Caenorhabditis elegans: one gene and its partners. The protein of the gene in region 2 interacts with the protein of the main gene of each other region in a pairwise test. Each region holds a gene or a part of one and is shown on either strand. Other genes may lie near its edges.

What was found.
Region 1: the proteins of C52A11.3 (region 2) and tab-1 interact in a two-hybrid assay, tested with the Caenorhabditis elegans proteins (one large-scale study listed by BioGRID).
Region 3: the proteins of C52A11.3 (region 2) and sip-1 interact in a two-hybrid assay, tested with the Caenorhabditis elegans proteins (one large-scale study listed by BioGRID).
Region 4: the proteins of C52A11.3 (region 2) and mab-5 interact in a two-hybrid assay, tested with the Caenorhabditis elegans proteins (one large-scale study listed by BioGRID).

What each region holds. Positions count from the first base shown.
Region 1 is NC_003280.10:6,802,068-6,805,386, reverse strand, and holds tab-1 (Homeobox domain-containing protein), read right to left. Parts: upstream 1,687-3,319; 5' UTR 1,630-1,686; coding exon 1,510-1,629; intron 1,193-1,509; coding exon 960-1,192; intron 915-959; coding exon 840-914; intron 792-839; coding exon 626-791; 3' UTR 524-625; downstream 1-523. Other genes in the region: F31E8.5 (DUF4091 domain-containing protein), read left to right, coding at 1-5, 55-186, 233-322.
Region 2 is NC_003280.10:10,735,326-10,739,146, forward strand, and holds C52A11.3 (PDZ domain-containing protein C52A11.3), read left to right. Parts: upstream 1-2,033; 5' UTR 2,034-2,076; coding exon 2,077-2,103; intron 2,104-2,258; coding exon 2,259-2,399; intron 2,400-2,443; coding exon 2,444-2,590; intron 2,591-2,759; coding exon 2,760-2,840; 3' UTR 2,841-3,303; downstream 3,304-3,821.
Region 3 is NC_003281.10:10,505,554-10,508,381, forward strand, and holds sip-1 (Stress-induced protein 1), read right to left. Parts: upstream 1,249-2,828; 5' UTR 1,155-1,248; coding exon 877-1,154; intron 821-876; coding exon 619-820; 3' UTR 553-618; downstream 1-552. Other genes in the region: urm-1 (Ubiquitin-related modifier 1 homolog), read left to right, coding at 1-14, 65-279; sly-1 (Sec1 family domain-containing protein 1), read left to right, coding at 1,607-1,646, 1,701-1,762, 1,813-1,910, 1,962-2,175, 2,470-2,706.
Region 4 is NC_003281.10:7,777,410-7,785,394, forward strand, and holds the start of mab-5 (Homeobox protein mab-5), read right to left. Parts: upstream 6,046-7,985; 5' UTR 5,980-6,045; coding exon 5,836-5,979; intron 5,567-5,835; coding exon 5,484-5,566; intron 4,799-5,483; coding exon 4,695-4,798; intron 1,131-4,694; coding exon 982-1,130; intron 1-981. UniProt on the Caenorhabditis elegans protein: Transcription factor that binds to the promoter region of the transcription factor lin-39 to repress its expression in Q neuroblasts and thereby direct left Q neuroblast (QL) daughter cell migration.

The DNA of each region.
Region 1 (3,319 bases), 3.9 Mb from region 2:
ACTACGTTAGTTTTTTTAAAATCAAATATAAATCTTCAATTTCATAGTTTTTAGGTTGACATGGTGTTCGGAGAAATGCAAGGAAATCCAATCTATCAGGATCAATTCAAGCTTCCAGTTACAGAGAGCACATCATTCAATATTCATGTTATCAAGGCACCTGGTTGTGATATTGAAATGGATACGGTAACAAACGTTTTGTTTTATTCAAGCTTAACTTAAAAATCTTCAGCGTACTTTGTTGTGGAATGACTACAATGCTGCAGTTCCAACTAATATGTGGGAAATCGGAAAATGTACATTCAACTTCTTCGATGAATAAGTGTCCTATTGTATTATGATTTGGAATAAAATAATTTAACAACCATTTTTCAAAGTTTCGTTTTTTTGAGGACTGATGGGCAATTGGCAAATCAAAAAGTTCAAAATTGAATTATAAGATGTGAGATAAATATAATTAAAGTAATACCCCATGACTTATTCCTCATAATCATAAATATAAGTTGGTAATAAAATATCTGTTAGAAATTTGACTTTATTTGGACATGCAATAATATAATACATCAATATTCTTTAAATAAATATTCATAGAGAAAAGACAATCTACCGGTAAATATATATATACTTATTCGCTCTCATTATCATTTCCATTGTCGTCATCCACACTATTATCATCTTTTCTGACAACTTTCTTGTGCTTCATTCGTCGGTTTTGAAACCATGTTTTAACTTGAGTTTCACTCAAATTGAGAGCATTTGCCAATTCAATTCTCTCAGGAGTACTCAGATATCTGAAAGTCTGATTTAGAATACTAAACTCGGAATGCATTTTTGGTCACCTTTGGGATTCAAATCTTCGTTCCAATCCTTGTAGTTGCTGATCACTGAACACTGTTCTTGCTTTTCTTCGCGAACTGAAAACAGAAGAATAATTATATTTGATAAATTTCAATCATTACCATTCCAACCTCAATCTTCTATACGCTTTAGTTGCATTTGACAATCGAATCTGATCAGCTGTTGACCAGAATCCAGGAAAAACTCCATTTCGTTGAGCCAACAAGAGACTATGTTCTATTGGAAACGCTGCTGCTGCAAGCCAAAGCTGATCAGAAAGAGCAGGAGTGATTGTGGGAGTTAATTCATTTGTCAATGGAACTGACATTACGGATATCGATGATTTTTCTGATCCCTGGAAGTAAACCGATAGAGTAATTTTTGATGATCAAATTTACATATTTTATTGAAATATTACTTGTTGAATTTAAGTAATTGTGAAAGAACAAGCATCACATCAAGGAAACAAAATATTTTTTAATGAAGTTGCGACTTATTTTGAATCAATTTTAAAGAAATCATTGACCAAAGGCCAAAAAAAACGGAAAAATTATATTTAAATTCAATTTTGATAATTGAGCGAAATACATTCCTGATATGTTTGTTTAAATATTTGCAGAGTGCCTATGGTGACTACAAAACCCAAACGAGAAAAATAGTTTAAGAACATACCTCATCTGAACTTGATTGGGGAGTGGGCGATGTTTGATCAAGCTTCAGAATTCTTTGAATTTCGTTTGAATGCCCACGAAGAAGATCATCAATTGAAAAACTTGATACAGGAGTTATCATTTTCAAATAAGTTTGAAGATTATTTTACGGGAGGTAAGATTCTCGTGTAAATGAGCTAACACGGTAATATGGTGCTCCCATAGGAGCACAATGGGTGGAGCTTCAGACGGCATCGGAAGGGGGCGGAGTCGGCGAATAGAGATGAAGGTCCCGTGAAAGACGACAAGGAGAAGAAGAAAAAAGAGTTGATGAGAGGGATAATGATTGTGAATGACAGTATTGCCGTAGGCAATATTGTAGGCGGTTGATGAAAGAATAAACAACCACTTAAGTGACGATGAGCAAAATATGGAAATTGATTGTCTCGTAATGTTCAGTACTAGAATAAAATATTGAAACTAATCAGTTGTGTCATTTTCGATCAGTCGTGTATTATGATGACGTGTTCATTTTTTGTATATGGTCTGGAGTCTTCTTTTCTTGCCAGTTTTGATGATCTGGAATAGTATATCTAGCATATAGGTGAAATTAAAATTCCAATAAAAACAAAACGTAATTTACATAATGTTTTCAAACCTCAAATATCTCATCAAGAAATTGGAAAAGCTTAGCAATCAACTCAATTTCTGAAAATTTTCAAATGGTCTACAAAAGATTCTTGGCCAAATACTCTAGAAGTATTAACTTGATTGACAAAATAATTTTGATTTTGCAAACTCTTCAAATTCACTAACGATGTAAGTCTTGTACTTATTCTTAAAATTTTGTACTTATTCAGGCATGCCTACTACGCACCTTTCAGTACTTTTGTGGTAGACAAAGGCCACAGGCAGTGTTTGTGCCTACATGAAAAGCCTACTTACAGCCGTTTTCCACTTTTGGCACAATTCGACCTCTCATGCTCATCATCTCCCTCTAATTACGTGTTTATGTTACAATACAATGCGATTGAGCCAGTACAATAACAATAACAAGTGTGAACGTGTTGAGAGCGACACGCGTCTAGTAATAGTCATTGTGCAACTGAGCAATTTGAACCTTTCCACAGATGTTCACCACTTCCCCAACAACTTGTGCATTTTTTGTGCATATCACTGTACCCCTTCAAACGTTTTAAAGCTTGGAGAGAAAATAGGGAAAGACGACTGGCTGACCTGACTAAACGAAGAAATTGAGCATCGAGTAACGAAGACTATTATTGCATTATAGACGGCAGAAGCGCTAGAAGGCTTTTAACTTATTATGTTGAGTAGACATACTCACACAAACTTATTAGCAACAAGAGGAGTAAGACCTGCTGTGCAAAATATTGTTGCCACGTCATCAAATACAAGACAAAGAATATTAAGAAAAGTTCCTTCCGTTTACATGTCACACTTAATTATAACTGGCTCTATGGGTACTTTGAACATTTGACACCTCATGACTTGCTCTATTGTTTCTTGAGTCACCGCAAAAAGGTGTCCTGTGGTGAGCTCCAATGTAACATAGTTCCAGAAGAATTACTTCATCATCACTCCTCCCTCATACTCGTGGTGTTAATACAAAAACTTATGCATATGCAATACAGCAATTATTCCCAATTAGTTAGCGGATTTCACTACCGTAGAAGAAGTAGTCGTTGTATTGAAGCTTCTATTTCATCACAATTGGCATGCTGTTTTGTCGGTATATAGCTCATCATTGAAAACGCGCTCATTATTCTTACGAAAATCTGTGTGATTTTAGTGGAAAACAAGATTTGATGAGA
Region 2 (3,821 bases):
AAAAGTCTTCAACACTTTGCCCAGTTATTTTTACTGTAAGGGAGATTCTAAAGTACTGCCAAGAAGTTGCGAATTTCACTATTCGTTTTTTTTTGAATTTATCAGGGTACTGTATAAAACTGTCAGAAGCTTTTAGACGATAAATTTTGGTAAGAAGTTGCAAAAGTAGTTGCAACCAAATATTGAGATAAACCCGAGTCGGCATCACTTTTGTAAGTTTATGACATTACTCATCCACATTCTTTCTGATAGTAACTGGGAAACTTTTAAGAAATTATTTACAGGATATTTTCTACTTATTTGAAATGAAAATTCGTGACTTTTGCGCTAACCAGACCTGGTCTGGGAGAACCGATTTTTCTAAAACCATCCTATCTGAATTATGACAAATATAATTGCTCTACCAGAACCCCAGTTTATACTTTATTCAAACTTAATTTATACTTATCAATTGGCATTTTCGCCGATTCAATTTCAAACAAGTTTGGCTAAAAGAGAGCAAGATGACAGAAGTATGTGAGTTTGATGTGGGCAGAGGAACAGGTGATTTTTTGAAAAAAGAGGAAAGATGGAAATAGAAAATGCCGTACGAAAAAAGTTAATTCACATTCTTCGTTTTTCGGAAATCCAAAACCTGAATTACATTCACACGGAGGCTCGTTTCTTTCGGTGTCTTCTGCTTCTGACAACACAGAGTCTCCTTGACAACGATTCGTGGCTCAAATGGAGTGAGAATTCGAAGAAAAGGTAGTAGAAGGGAATAGAAAGAGGAAAGGGATTCAGAAAAAATTGTTCGAAGAATTGTTCTGTCTTAAATTAACGGGGGAAAACAGGATCTGTTTACACGCTACAATGAGAAGTTTTGTAGAATTATGTACATTCTGAAAGCAATAGAAATACAATTTTGAAATCAAGTGCTCGTGAAAAAGGAATATTCCAGATTAAATACAAATACAAAAATAAAAATCTAAAGTATTCAAGTCAGGGAATTTTCGTACAAAACATGACAGTCCAATTTTTTCCTGGGAAGGAATAACAACATTTAAAGAGCGAATTGAAAATGAGAAAAATAATTGAAATTTTTTAGAAAAAGACTTTAAAAAAAGTGTGGTGCGTCAGAAAATCTTCAGATCAATTTCCCAAAAACCGAACTTAGGTACAAGAAAAAGCTAGAAAAAAAGGGTTAAAATTCAGCTATGTGCAATTTTTTTTTGAATTTTGGCAACTTTCAAAATTATCATACATTTTTTAAAAAGGAGTCAAATTTATATTTTGTGAAAAATTCGATTTTTTGCCGAATAAAAATTCTGAATGATTTTTTTTCCATGACACATCTAGTTTCAAACAATGTTAGCTTGTCTGATCTTCTTTTTTGAAATGAGACATATTTTTACGCATGTTAACCTCGAAATTATTAAAACTTTAAAAAAAGGAGCGGAAATGATTTTTCAAACTCCGCACAAGGTAAGATATAAGGCACAAACCAGTCGGAACTACAAAATTAACAAATTTTATATGGAAGAAAATTTTAACTTTTTGTTTTTATTTTTAACGTTTGACAGATAATATTTGCGAAAATCTGGTTAGAACAGAATTTTGGTAGCAGCTGACATTTTCTTAGATTATATTTCACTAATTTTAAATATATATTTGCAATTATTTACTGATTGTGAGAACTTTCAAGTTGATTTAGAACAAGTAAAAAAAATTAAGAACTTCTAGACTGTAGGCATGCAAGTTTTTTAACGTCATTCTTACTCATCTCAGTTTGGAAACCCCTTCTCTGATCATACTAAATAATTTATTTGAGATTGTTAGCAACAAAAAAGTCCCTAAAGTGATGACTATTGTGATTCATAATTATATAAATGTTCAATATATCACGCGTTACCCTATGATCTCATGAAAATGATCAGAGGGTAAATATGATTTATTCAAAAACAATGAAATATAATGTTAATTGGAGAGGTAAAGTTTGAGCCGGGAAGGTATAAATATAAAGTTGAGAGTAATCATTTTCTGATGAAAGATTTTTACTATCAGTTTGGACCATAACTTTCTACGGATTCCAGAACAATGCGACGAATCACTTGCTGCTTTCCGGTAATTAATCGTTTTGTGGAAAAATAATTATTGAACATTAGGATTATTATTCAAAAATACTGCCCCTTTGCTTGACAATTTTTGAAACAATTTTCAAGTATAAAACATATAAAACATCCTAAAGAGCTTATGAAACATATTTAATAATACTACAGATAAAAATTCACCGAAGACAACCACCTAGTCCACCATCAACTATCACATTGAGCAGTTATGAGTACAGTTCACTCGCTGTCGGAATCATTTCCGATTTGAAAGAAGAGGGTTGTGATACATTACTTGTCAAGCTTCAGAAGGTTTTCATCAACACTTCCATTATACTTTCATAGATTTTTCTCAGGATGCCAATCGGAAAATCGGAATGGGAGTCGGGGTAAGAGATCGTGGAATCCTCATAACCACTGTAGTACCTGGATCGGTTGCCGCTGAGAAATTGAAAGTTGGAGATCGTATTTTGGCGGTCAATGGACGTCCAATTTTGGATCAGGTAAGAATGATACAACAAATAGGAGACACAATAAAATTATCCAAAAACTGACTGAAATTGAAAAAATTTTCTAAGGGGGAAATTTGTGCAAGATGCGAGCAAGACTAACTAGTTTATATTTATAACAAACATTTAGATATCCGATATCTATATTTGTCACTTACTTCAGCGCTCGGTGGTGAAATCGGTCAAAGCATCTGGTCAACGACTGTATCTTCAAATCGCCCGTCCTCACAAGGTACATAAATAATGGTCCCTATATTTTAATTATTGCGCTACGAACAGTTTCTTTTTATCTTCTAATTATTTGAAATCGTATATTTCTTCCCAAAAATTATTTTCCAAAAGGCTAATTTCAGCAAAAAGCCTCAACCAACCTCATCAACTTTTTTTGGCATTACCAAAGTTTCTAAAATTTGTTGAAGTTTGCTGCAAGAAATTGATAAGATACAATAATTATTTCCCCAACGAACCCTTTATCTGTACCAAAATTCAAATCTCGCATTGTAACGGAATGCACTTACTTACTGTTGTAGATTTTATCCGTCAAAAAATCTATTTTGCTAGCAATTTCACCTCCTCACACACGCTATAACATTTTTTTTCCTGACTAACCTCAACAGTTTTATTGTAACGATCTTAAAAAATTATTGAACTTCCTGGTGGGAGGTTACTCGACTAATTGGAATATTTATGAAATATTAAAAAAAAACAATAAACACAAGAAAAACAGTTTATTATATACTATTCATGCGTGGGAAATTATCCAAAAATAAAACAATGAAAGATCCAAAATAAGGACTAAAAGATAGAACACTAAACTTAAGGAAATAATATCACCGCATACTTTGCAAATGGGTGTAAAACGACTAGATATTCAGCATGTTTGGAACGAATTGAATAGTTTTCAAAAAAAAAAACGGTAAAACTTCAAAAAGAAAAACATTTCAAAAAAGTACCCTGCAGAGTTTGACAGAAGAGGCGAGACATAATTGACTGCCTACAAAATGCATAAAATTGCTCGCCTATATTTCAAAAAAAAAAATTCAAAAAAAATTAAGAAAAAAATATGGAAACCTGAGTTGTGTTGAAAGTTGGGGGAGAGGATTCGAATCAAGAAAAAAACAAGGAAATAATTTTAAGGGGGAAGCGGTACGAATAACATTGAGCACTTTTGAAGGTAGGAATGCTAGAATATTATTAGAAGTTCGTCAGAAAATGAACGACGAAT
Region 3 (2,828 bases), on a different chromosome or scaffold from region 2:
TCAGATTCCGGCAGGTACTTGATTTTTGAATTTTAAAAACGAATTTTGACGATTTTTATTTCAGACTCTACACTCCGAGACGTGCTGAAATTTGTCCGGGACAACCTCGTCACGGATGTTCACCGGATAAATATGTTGCTCAACGATGACGCCAGCGAAGTTGCTCACGGAGTGATTACCCTTATCAATGACACGGATACCGGATTGCTGTTAGAATACGATACGGTTATTGAGGCAGGGGATACGATTACTTTTGTCTCGACGCTTCATGGTGGATGAACTCGGATTTTTGCTAATTGTTTTGTTTTTAAGCTGTTTTTTAAGTTGATAATGAATTTGAAATGTATCACTTCGAAATTAGTTAACAGAGCAGGTATCTTCAACGGACGAAGGTTGCTGAAACTTTCGACGAGCGGAACTTTCAAGGGGACTCATCTTAATCGAAGAAGAAAAAACGCTTCACAGAACGACAGTTTCTAGGCATTTCCAGAAAGATGGAAGAACTTTCGAAACCGAAGACTCCCCCCTGTACCCAAAACAAAAGAAAAACACTTTTTTTCTCATTTTACAGCTTTATTTTTGTCCTGGCAGTATGTAATCTAGAAAGTTGGGGGCAATTTAGTGCTTTCCGGTGGTGGTGGTGCTGGATGGCTTCTGGGTGACAGCGTGTCCAGCAGAAGTGTGGATTGGAAGAGCACGAACGGTGGTGTTGGAGCCGGTCTTTGGAGCATCGATGGTCATCTGTCCTTCCTTGTTGATGACGGTGTGGATGTGAGCCAAGTCGACGTCCTTTGGAAGAGTGAACTGGCGAGTGAACGATCTGAAAATTTTTAATTAATTTTAATTCCAATAAATGAAAAATAAAATAAAACCAACCTCTTGCTGAACCCGTGCTCGGTCTTGACCTCGTGGTGTCCCTCAATGGTGAGAACGTGTCCCTCAAGATTGACCTTCAACTCTTCCGGCTTGAACGCGGCGACGTCGAGCTTGACACAGAACTTCTGGGCGGTGTTCTCGACCTCGTTGAGCTGTTGTGGCACGATGTTGTTGAAGTTGTTGAGCATGCTGTGACGCTGAGCCCAGTATGGCATCATGTCCTCGAAGTCGCGGAAGAGTCCGGTTGGACGGCCAGTGTATGGGCAGAGAGAAGACATAGTTGAGTGAATAGGGTTAAGAATGAGGTGAAAAACGATGAACGTCTGAGGAAAATGGCAAAATCCGCGCCTTTTATACCCAATTTTTGTTTGTTGTTTGTTGTTGTTTACTTGTTTACATTTTTGTTGTTGTTTCGATGATCAGTGAGAGATCAAAATGTAGGTCAAACATTATATTTTACGAGAAATTGCGTATTTTAATAAAAATTATTTATTTTTTATCAGAATTTTGCATTTTTTTTTCTCTAAAATCTTTCTCTGAAAATTAAATTTTTCACACAATTCTGTTTTAAAATTCCGCTTTTCTTTTAAAAAAATGCATTGCACGCAAAATGCGCCAGTGTACACCGTTTGACACGCTTCTCGTCTTCTATTCTACGTGGCCGTAAATCTACACAGATTTTATCAGATAATTTTCCAGGGTTTTAAAAAATATTTTAACGAACAAAATTATGCCGGCGGAGCTGGAAAGCGTTCGAACGCGACAAATAGGTGAGAATTCATGCTTGATATGAATAAAATATAAATAAATCTCCATATTTTCAGTCGCTTTACGGACGATGATCAATTTGAATGAGCCCGTAGTCAATTCTGGAGTCAGAGAACCGGTAGGCCGATTTAAAATACCTGAAAAATCAAATTTATTGTGTGAATTTAGGTATGGAAAGTATTGGTGCTCGACAGAACCGGACAGGATATAATTTCGCCGCTTCTCCCAGTCAAACAGCTCAGAGAACTCGGAGTTACCCTTCATTTGTGCGATTTTAGCTAAAAAACTGCGCAGAAATTCAATTTTTCATATTGCAGATTGATCGGAGCCCGCCGTGAGCCGCTAACCGACGTTCCAGCTGTGTACTTCGTGTCGCCAAACGATGAGAATATTGATTTGATGAGTGAAGATCTCAAAAAAGCCATGTACGACTCGTTCTATTGCAATTTCATCTCCCCGTTGGCTCGTCCTCGTCTCGAATCGCTCGCTTCAGCTGCAGTACACGGGGGAGCAGTTTCACAAGTTCAAAAAGTGCGATAAAGAATTAAAAAATATATTTAATTCAGCATTAACTAGTCGAAAACCTTCTACATTCTTCATAACTTGTGCTGCAAAAACCATTATAAATCTCAAAATTGTGGTTTTTTTTCGGATTTTTTCTTGCAAAAAGTACAGAATTTTGAAAATTATCAACCTTTTTTCTTGATTCTAACAAAGTTTGTCGTAAAAACACTTATAAAATTGAATTTTGCACTAGTTTTTCAGCAAAAATAACTTTTTATTTCAAAAAAAAATTAGATTTTCCGACATTTTCAAAATTTCCAGGTAGTGGATCAATATCTCAACTTCATTTCCCTGGAAGATGATCTCTTTGTGCTCCGTCGTTACAGTGAAAATAGTACATTCTCATATCACGCAATGAATTCACCCGGAACATCCGATGTCGCCGTGAATGCGATGCTTGATTCCATTGCCGACGGACTTTTTGCAGTTTGTGCCACTATGGGAATTGTTCCGATTATTAGATGTCCGAAGGGAAATGCTGCTGAAATGGTGGCAAAAGTACGGTTATTATACTCAAAATGGCTCGAAAGTAGCGGATATTATAACAAAAATTCGGAGAAAATCGCTTGGTTTTCGCTAAAATTTCCAATTATGCCAATTTTTCGGTGCTGTGGCGTCTG
Region 4 (7,985 bases), on a different chromosome or scaffold from region 2:
ATCTATTAAATACTTATTTATTAAAACAAAACAGATTATTCACGTGGTGTCAGGCTGTCTCATTGCGGTTTGATCTACGAAAAATGCGGGAATATTTTCCCAGAAAAATTGTGACGTCAGCACAGTCTTAACCATGCGAAATCAGATCAGATGTCTGCGTCACTTCTCCCGCATTTTTTCGAAGATCAAAGCAAAATGGGACTTTTTGACTCCACGTGATTATTCTACTTTGCTTTTTTGTTATCTAGATTATCAGTAAGAAACTACAATTTTTGGTTTTAAAATTGTGTTTGCAATAAGAATTTTCGAAAAAACCATTAAAACTTTTTAATAGAAAAATTATTTTAAAAAATTGAAGAATAATTCCCTATTCTTGTTTAAAATAAATCATCATTCATTATGCATTAAATCTGTCGGTAGTTATTACACGTTCTTATGATAATTTAGGCTTGAAAAAATTCGAGCCACCTCAAAAAAATTTTGGAATTTTCTTTTGGAAAAGACTAGAAGTGAACAAACTTTTTGTCAATATTTTGAGTGTATGAAAAATAAAAAAATACTATAATTGTTCTAAAATGTGTTCAGAAGTCTGACCAAGAAATTTTGGTACAACTGTTGTTATTTTGTTTATTGCCATATAAACTAAAATTTAGAGTTGCGTGGGTTTTCCAAATTATACAAAACATTAGTTCAAAATACTGAAATTTAAAATGAGTAACTTTAAATTGGTGTTGATTTTTTCCAAAATGTTTAGTCTTTGGTTTTGGTAAATTGCCAAATTTGTGACAATATTGATTTTTCGAGAAGTTAGAAAATTGTTTGAAAGTGATGCCCAACAATGCTTAAATACAAATAGATTTTTTTTAATCGAATACATTTTTTGGTTTTCTTCCAAAATTATGAAAATTGAGTAATTGCCAAGAAAATATACAAAATTATTTTCCTAAAATAACTTCTGTGAAATCTGGTAGTGAGACTTACTTGTCTTTCAGTCAAATGCAATGTTTCTGAAATTTCTTGCCGACGTTTCCTAGTCAAGTATTTGTGATAATGAAATTCCTTTTCTAATTCCAATGTTTGACTTCTTGAATATGTCTGACGAGTGCGTTTTGATTCTCCACCTTTTGCACCTGAAATATTATAAATTGAAAAATGCTAACTGTCTCAAGATTACATGGTTACAAATCCATTAACACCTAAGAACGAAAGCTGTCAACAAATAATAATAATTAAGAAATAAACCTTCCCCATCAAATACAGTAATCCTATCCCACCCCTGACGCAATTTGATTGGTCGTGGTCAGTTGTTGTTCCCCAGCCATGTCGTATTTCATTATTGCCGCGAATTCTCTTTGTCTTATCGTCGCACCGACTTCATAACAGTTGCTGTTCCGGGCGGTCTATTTCTCGATCATCACACTTTCCAAATGATATCCAAACAATTAATAAATTAACAACGATGGCGTAATGATCGAGAAAGCTTAATTCGCGGAACTTTATGTTCTAATAAAATGTTTCAACAGGGAGAATGAAAATTATCACAAACTCGCTGAAGGTAATAGCTATTACTGTGTATAATATGGAATATAAATTTTTCAAGGACTATCAAGTAATCAGTTTTATATTATATATAGTTAGACATTTTTTCTCTCCCACTTTTCCATTACGATCCTTGAATTTTTAATTTTAAACAGTAGACACTAAGATAATAAGAATTATCGGCATACAGTGAAGGAAGGTTTTTAGGTATAAAGTTGCGACAATGTTACGAGAATAAAAAGGAATAACATTAATTGGGGCCCGCGAGATATAGTTTGCAGAAACAACAAAGGTTCGAAGTTAACATTTTTAAACCAGCTACCGGAAACATATATACACCTACACAAAAATGCAATTGCTCTTAAAAAAAGTGCAATGAGTTTTTATATTTAGGTATATTTTCTTGGATAAATTCTTGTTTTTATTGGATAAAAGATATGGATAAAATAACGGCTGACCAAGTTGTAATTACTCTAATATTAGAAAAATGTTTCAAAACCATAATAATCAATAGGTTAGTATTTTCAAACTACCGTAGTCCGCTCTCTATGTCTGCTCACACTCTCTCTCACTTTTCAATTTCCAATTTTTCTCTTTGCAACACACTCACTCTTTTCTACCCTGGTTCATCTATACCTCATTGAAATTCAACCATCTGTCCTCTTTATCCGGAAAACCCTAAACACACAAGACATATCAAAACTACTGTATTACGGTAGATCCGTGCTCAAACTCCCTTTCATAATAATTTGAACTTCAACAACAAACAATACCACCCAGAAGTACAACGCTTGTTCGATTCAACCTGTTCTCATTTTTTGGGAAATCTTCTATTTTCTGTTAGATTTCAGTTTCGATTAGAAAGTTTTGAGGCACAGAGAGAAAAAACGGGAGGATTACTGTACTTCTCCAATCTGGGCATCAATCAAAAAAAGTTAATGGGGAAAACTGAATGAACGAAAGAAACTAATTGCAAATTAATGACTAACGGAAGAAGAAAAAGACATTGAAAAGAAAATGGTAACATATTGATAATCTTGAAAAATTACATGCAATTTGTGATGTGGTGAAGCTTCATGGTCAATTTTTGACAAAGTTTCCAGTTTAAGAATCAATGTATTTTGATTAGTGCAATAAAATACTGAATTTTAGATGAAATTTGAATCGGAAAATCAGTTTTTTGTAAGTTCGCAATATATCTTTTCAACAATTTAGCTAGATGATCATCGATTGTTTACAATCTATTGAAAAGTTGACACAAAGAGACAAGAAATTTTCTGAGAAATTGTATCAGACTAATAGGAAAAATACGGTGCATGGGTTTAACAAAGAGTACGACTGTAAAAAGCATGTCAAAACGTTATTATCTTATCTTAAACGTTTGGGGTGCTCATGAGTGAAGAAAATAGGCGATGTGCAGGTATGTATATTTTTTGACTTTGAATATTACGGGAAAAATTCCATTTTAAAAATTTACAAGCGAAAATTCCAAGCAACATATTTCTATCAGTCTATCGTATAATATTTTGATAAGACGACAGAAGGGAATTTAGACACGATGCCTCAACTTTACACCGTATGATCCTCCTAATCCGGTGTCGTCTGAACTTGTCAGTCAATTTCGTTTCTTCTTCCCTCTGCTATATATCAAATGAATATCCACCGTAAATCATCGGATTAGAAGAACGTGATGACAAACCGCCCGTGTTTCTGCTCTTTTGCGTGGAGCATCCTGTGAAGCAGCTGTTGCAGCATCAAGTCATAAAACATCCGATGCTCAGGTCATCTCTCTCTGCACACGAACCGCAAACATTTTGACAAGTTGGTGTTGTTGTTCCTAGTACAACTTGTTCTTGTGTTCGGATTGTGGAGGAGGTCAAAAATGAATAAATCAATTGACAATTTACAACTTCGATACGGACCCCCACTTTCTCTTGTGCTTAGGGCTCGAATTCGTGGGTTTTCTGGCACGGCGGCAAACTTCAAAGCACCAAGGAAAATAAATGATTCGGGAAAGACAGAGAGAGTAAAAGAGAGAGAAAGTGAAACAAGACAAAGATTCTCTCGTATTTACGTGTATCTTCCATTTTCTCCGTCTTCTTTTCTCATGCTTTTCTCTGGTTTCGGTCAAAAAATGAAAGAGAACGAAAAAAACTCCGAAGGAAGAGAAAGAGAAATGTAACAGAGAAGCCTGTCTCTCGTGTTTTGAACTGACTGTGAAAAAATTATCGAAATTAAAAGTAACTGAATGAAATCAAACACATTTTTTCAAACTATTATCAATTTGGAAATAATTACAAGAGCATTGAATTTATACTGTGACACCAAAGATTGTATTTTGTATATTTCAAAAATTAAAAAAAAGTATAAAATTTAAGACGTAAAATCAAAATGGACGGCATGTCAGTAAGTTCTGGAAAAAGTTGAACAACCATTTATGAGATGCACTAATCCGGTAATGACATTAAAATTTTTGTACAGTTCAAATCGATATTGTTTTCTGCAGTGTTTTTGAAGTTTCAAATTTTGACTGAGTTTTGGAATATTGGAAATAGAATATTGCATGCAGTTGTTCGAAAAATTCATAACCCAAAAGTTAATCAAAACTTATATTAAAAGGCCGGTAGATTTTTTTTTCTGAAACTTTGAACTTTCAAAACTAAAAACTACCAAAACTTGAGACTTATAACTAGCAACATTAGGCAAACAGTGTTGACTGTAAACCCATTAAAATATAAAACTTTATCCTATTCATGACCATTTCCCCGTTAACCACCCAGCGTGTATCATAAATAAATCAAAAAATTCCGTCCTTTTCCCGCCGCGATTTAGAGAAAAAGGATCCAAAAGAGACACCGACTTGTCGCCATATTTTTTGTTTTTCTCCTTCTTTTTCTCTTTAATATTATACCGCCATGAAAGTCTGAAGATAAGAATCGAAAAAGTGTGCCCCTCTCTCTAGGACCTCCCCTCTTGCGCGCATGTCTATCTTCACACCTATTTGGCGGTCATTACCGAGTAACAACCAATCCGAAATTACATTAAAATGTAGAAGAATGACCCATATGTTTGTCTTGTTTTGACATTTTTATGAGATCAAATAGTGAAAATGGAAATACGAGTTTAAAAGTGAAAATGAGAAACTGTAAACTAACCGCCCATCTTCATCCATGGAAATACTGGTTGCGAGATTGCTGGCATTGAAGTTCTAGTTTCACCAAAATTTGCAGATGTTGCTTGAAGTGGGTTATAGGCGAATCTGAAAATATTTTAAGTTGGATCCTAAATTTTGTGGTAAGTTAATTCGCTTATTTGAATATGGAAAAAAAATATTTCGAATTTCCAAATACTCTTATTCATCATTTTAATATGTTTTTGTTCCTGTCTTCAAGGCGACCTTTGCCTGCCTTGTTGCTCTTCTGCACGCATCCTGCCAAAGTTCCCTTATTCAAAACTTCAATCATTAATTAAAATAAGATAATGAAAAACCTGTGAGAAATTTACAACAATTGAGTTTTCATTTGAAAATGGCTATAGGCTTGATGATCGAAAATTGCTTTTTTTTTATTATGGAAAAATATTAAAGATAAAATATTCATGTTGAAATTCAAATGCATTAGAGAGTGCTTGTAAATAAAATTGGAGTGAACATATTTTTTTAAAGAAATCCGAAATCTTTTAAACATTTCCGAAAGACATATTTTAAAAAAACGAACTCAATGTTTTTGTTGCAATGAAACTATTGATTTTTTGGAAACCGGACTGAGAACTTCTTTCAAAAACTGAAATTTAAATTTTCTTGTTGATTTTTCTTTGAATCAATGTTAAAAAGGAAGTTGTGAAACCTGGAACGCTTAGCAAAAATCTTAAAATTTTACAGCAAACTTTGTTTTATTTCGCAACATTTTTTTCTCGCTCCAAAAATTTTATTTCAAGAAACTTACGGATTTGATGAATTATCCATCCAACCGGCAGCAAGCATATGTTTCATATTGTTCATGTAGGTGTGATTGTAGAGTTCGTAGGTCTGAAAATAGTTTGAAGTTTAGTAATGGGACGTTGCGAAATACTTTCAAAGTTTTTCAAAACAAGGGTGAATATTTCTTGATATTTTTAAATGAATTTTTTATTAATTTTTTAATCTGGAAAATTTGAAAACTATAGAGTATTTTAAAAATTGAAATTCATTTTTGTAGGGTTTTCCCCATATTTTCCGTAATTAATTTTCGACCCAAAATATTTGAACTTATTTCAACTAAAACCTAAAATTTTTCATTTAAACTCTGAAACACACACTTTCAAATTATTGGCAGCAGCAGCAGCGGCAGCACTAGACGATGCTGAAGCAGATGTGCCGGATGATGCGGATTGAGAAGAAGCCGTTGTGCCGGCGCCCGCCCAGTACGAATCGTCGCCTGTCCATCCAGGATACATGCTCATTTGCCGACGGATTGAGTTGAGGGGATGAGTAGATGCGTGATGGAAGACGGCAAAAAGGTGCGGATTTCTGAAATTGAAATGGTAATTGAGGGGTGAGAATATGGGAAGATAGAGAAAAAGTAGGGAGCACGGAAGGAGCATGGAAAGAGCAATGAGAGCAAGATGGAGGAAAAAATGGTGCCATATAGAATACAACTTGAATAATTGAGGAAATAATATATCAGGTTTGTTTCAACGTCATAAGTATAAAGCCCATCTCAGTGAACACTAAATAAGATAATTTTTCAAATCAATAAGCACAATAATATGAAAATTAATTATGACACATTAAGCTGTAGAAGGCAAGTTTTTAAAACTGTTAAAAATAATATATGGTGAACAACTGATTAATATTGTTTTAAAGTTATCAAATGATCAATTTAAAAGCGTTTATTCTATAACTATTTAATACCAAAAGTTGCAATTTAAACTATTTCTGATATTATGAAATATTTTCTATACAGAATGTTTTAACATTACGTTTTTTTCTAAAAGCAACATATTCGACAAAGTCAGTAATACTAAAAATAAAAACAATTACAAGTAAATAAAATGTTTATTTCTAAAGCTAGACATTTGATAAGAAATATCGAGCATATTTAAAGTGAAATAAATTGTCTAATGAAATTTATTTTGTTTTACCTTCACTCTAGAAGTTTATCAATAAAAATGGTAATAATGACTTCCATTAAACCAAATAAGCATTCCAAAACCCCTACAGTACTCCTCATTATTTGATAATCATGAGGTTTGGTCTATAAATATCTTTTAGTGACTAATGTCCATTACATATTACCGTATCAATTTATCATTTGTCACATTATCAATCTTTAATGCCATTACATTAAGCCCTTCTCTCTCTCTTCCAGTTTCTCTTTGGAACCTAATATTATAAAGTATCCAATGAGTCCCGTAACTAAAAACCAATAAACGGGGCATTGACGCATTAATTAAGATATATATTCGAATATAAAGAAGAGAAATCAATCGGAGAATTGAAATATGTTGAGGGCGCCTGATGAAATATTGGTGGGGCCCCCCGGCGGCCGACTGGTCGATGCGAACAACGTGTGAATGGGCGGAGTCTCCGGGCGTTGACGGGAAATGGGGAAACCAATCGGAGAAATTGGGAGGAGCATGAAAAGACTGGGAAGGCAATGATGAGTAGCATTTTATGGTAGAAATCATAATATTTTAGTTATTAAGATTCCAAGTCAAGAGCTTCTATTTAGCATTTGGTTTAGATGTCATTTACAATGGCATTTGAGAGGGCTTATCCTACAGAGATGACATCTTATTGTAGATTTGTGAAAATTGGAAAATATGATTCAAATAATGAGTTCTGGCATTTAATTTTCGAATGAAAATAAAAATTTTACGAAATTAAGCAAAAGTATAAATTAAAAAAATAATTCGATTAGAAGTTGTCATTTTTTCAAAATTAATATGGTTTTTTAAAAAATTTGTTTGATATTATATATTTAAATCTACAATTTAAAACAAAATGCTATATCTGTATTATTCAAGTCCCGAACTTGAAAAAATTGAAGTCTTGCAGAAAATTAGAAAGGTTAGAAAATGACATTTGTATGTTCAATGTATTTGGAACTCTTGAAACAAAGTAATCAAAAGAATCAAATGAAAAGGATCAAAATTTCTAGAACCGATAAAATATTAAAACGTTAAAAAACGTATCTGTTGAATAATAATAGCCCTTCACTATCTGAAAAATTGATTAGTCGTGAAAAGAGGAGATGGGAAAATTATCGGAAAATTAAAATTTCATGAAATGAAAAAATTAAAGTTAAAAAATTTGTGCACCCATCTACCGAAGATGTACCTAGTTAATAGAAAAATCAAAAGAAATAATTAAAATATGCAAAAAAGAGTGAAAATCAAATAACAACTTAACTCCGACCGTTTAATGAGTCATTTGTGATTTGAGTACATAAATATAATTTTAAAAC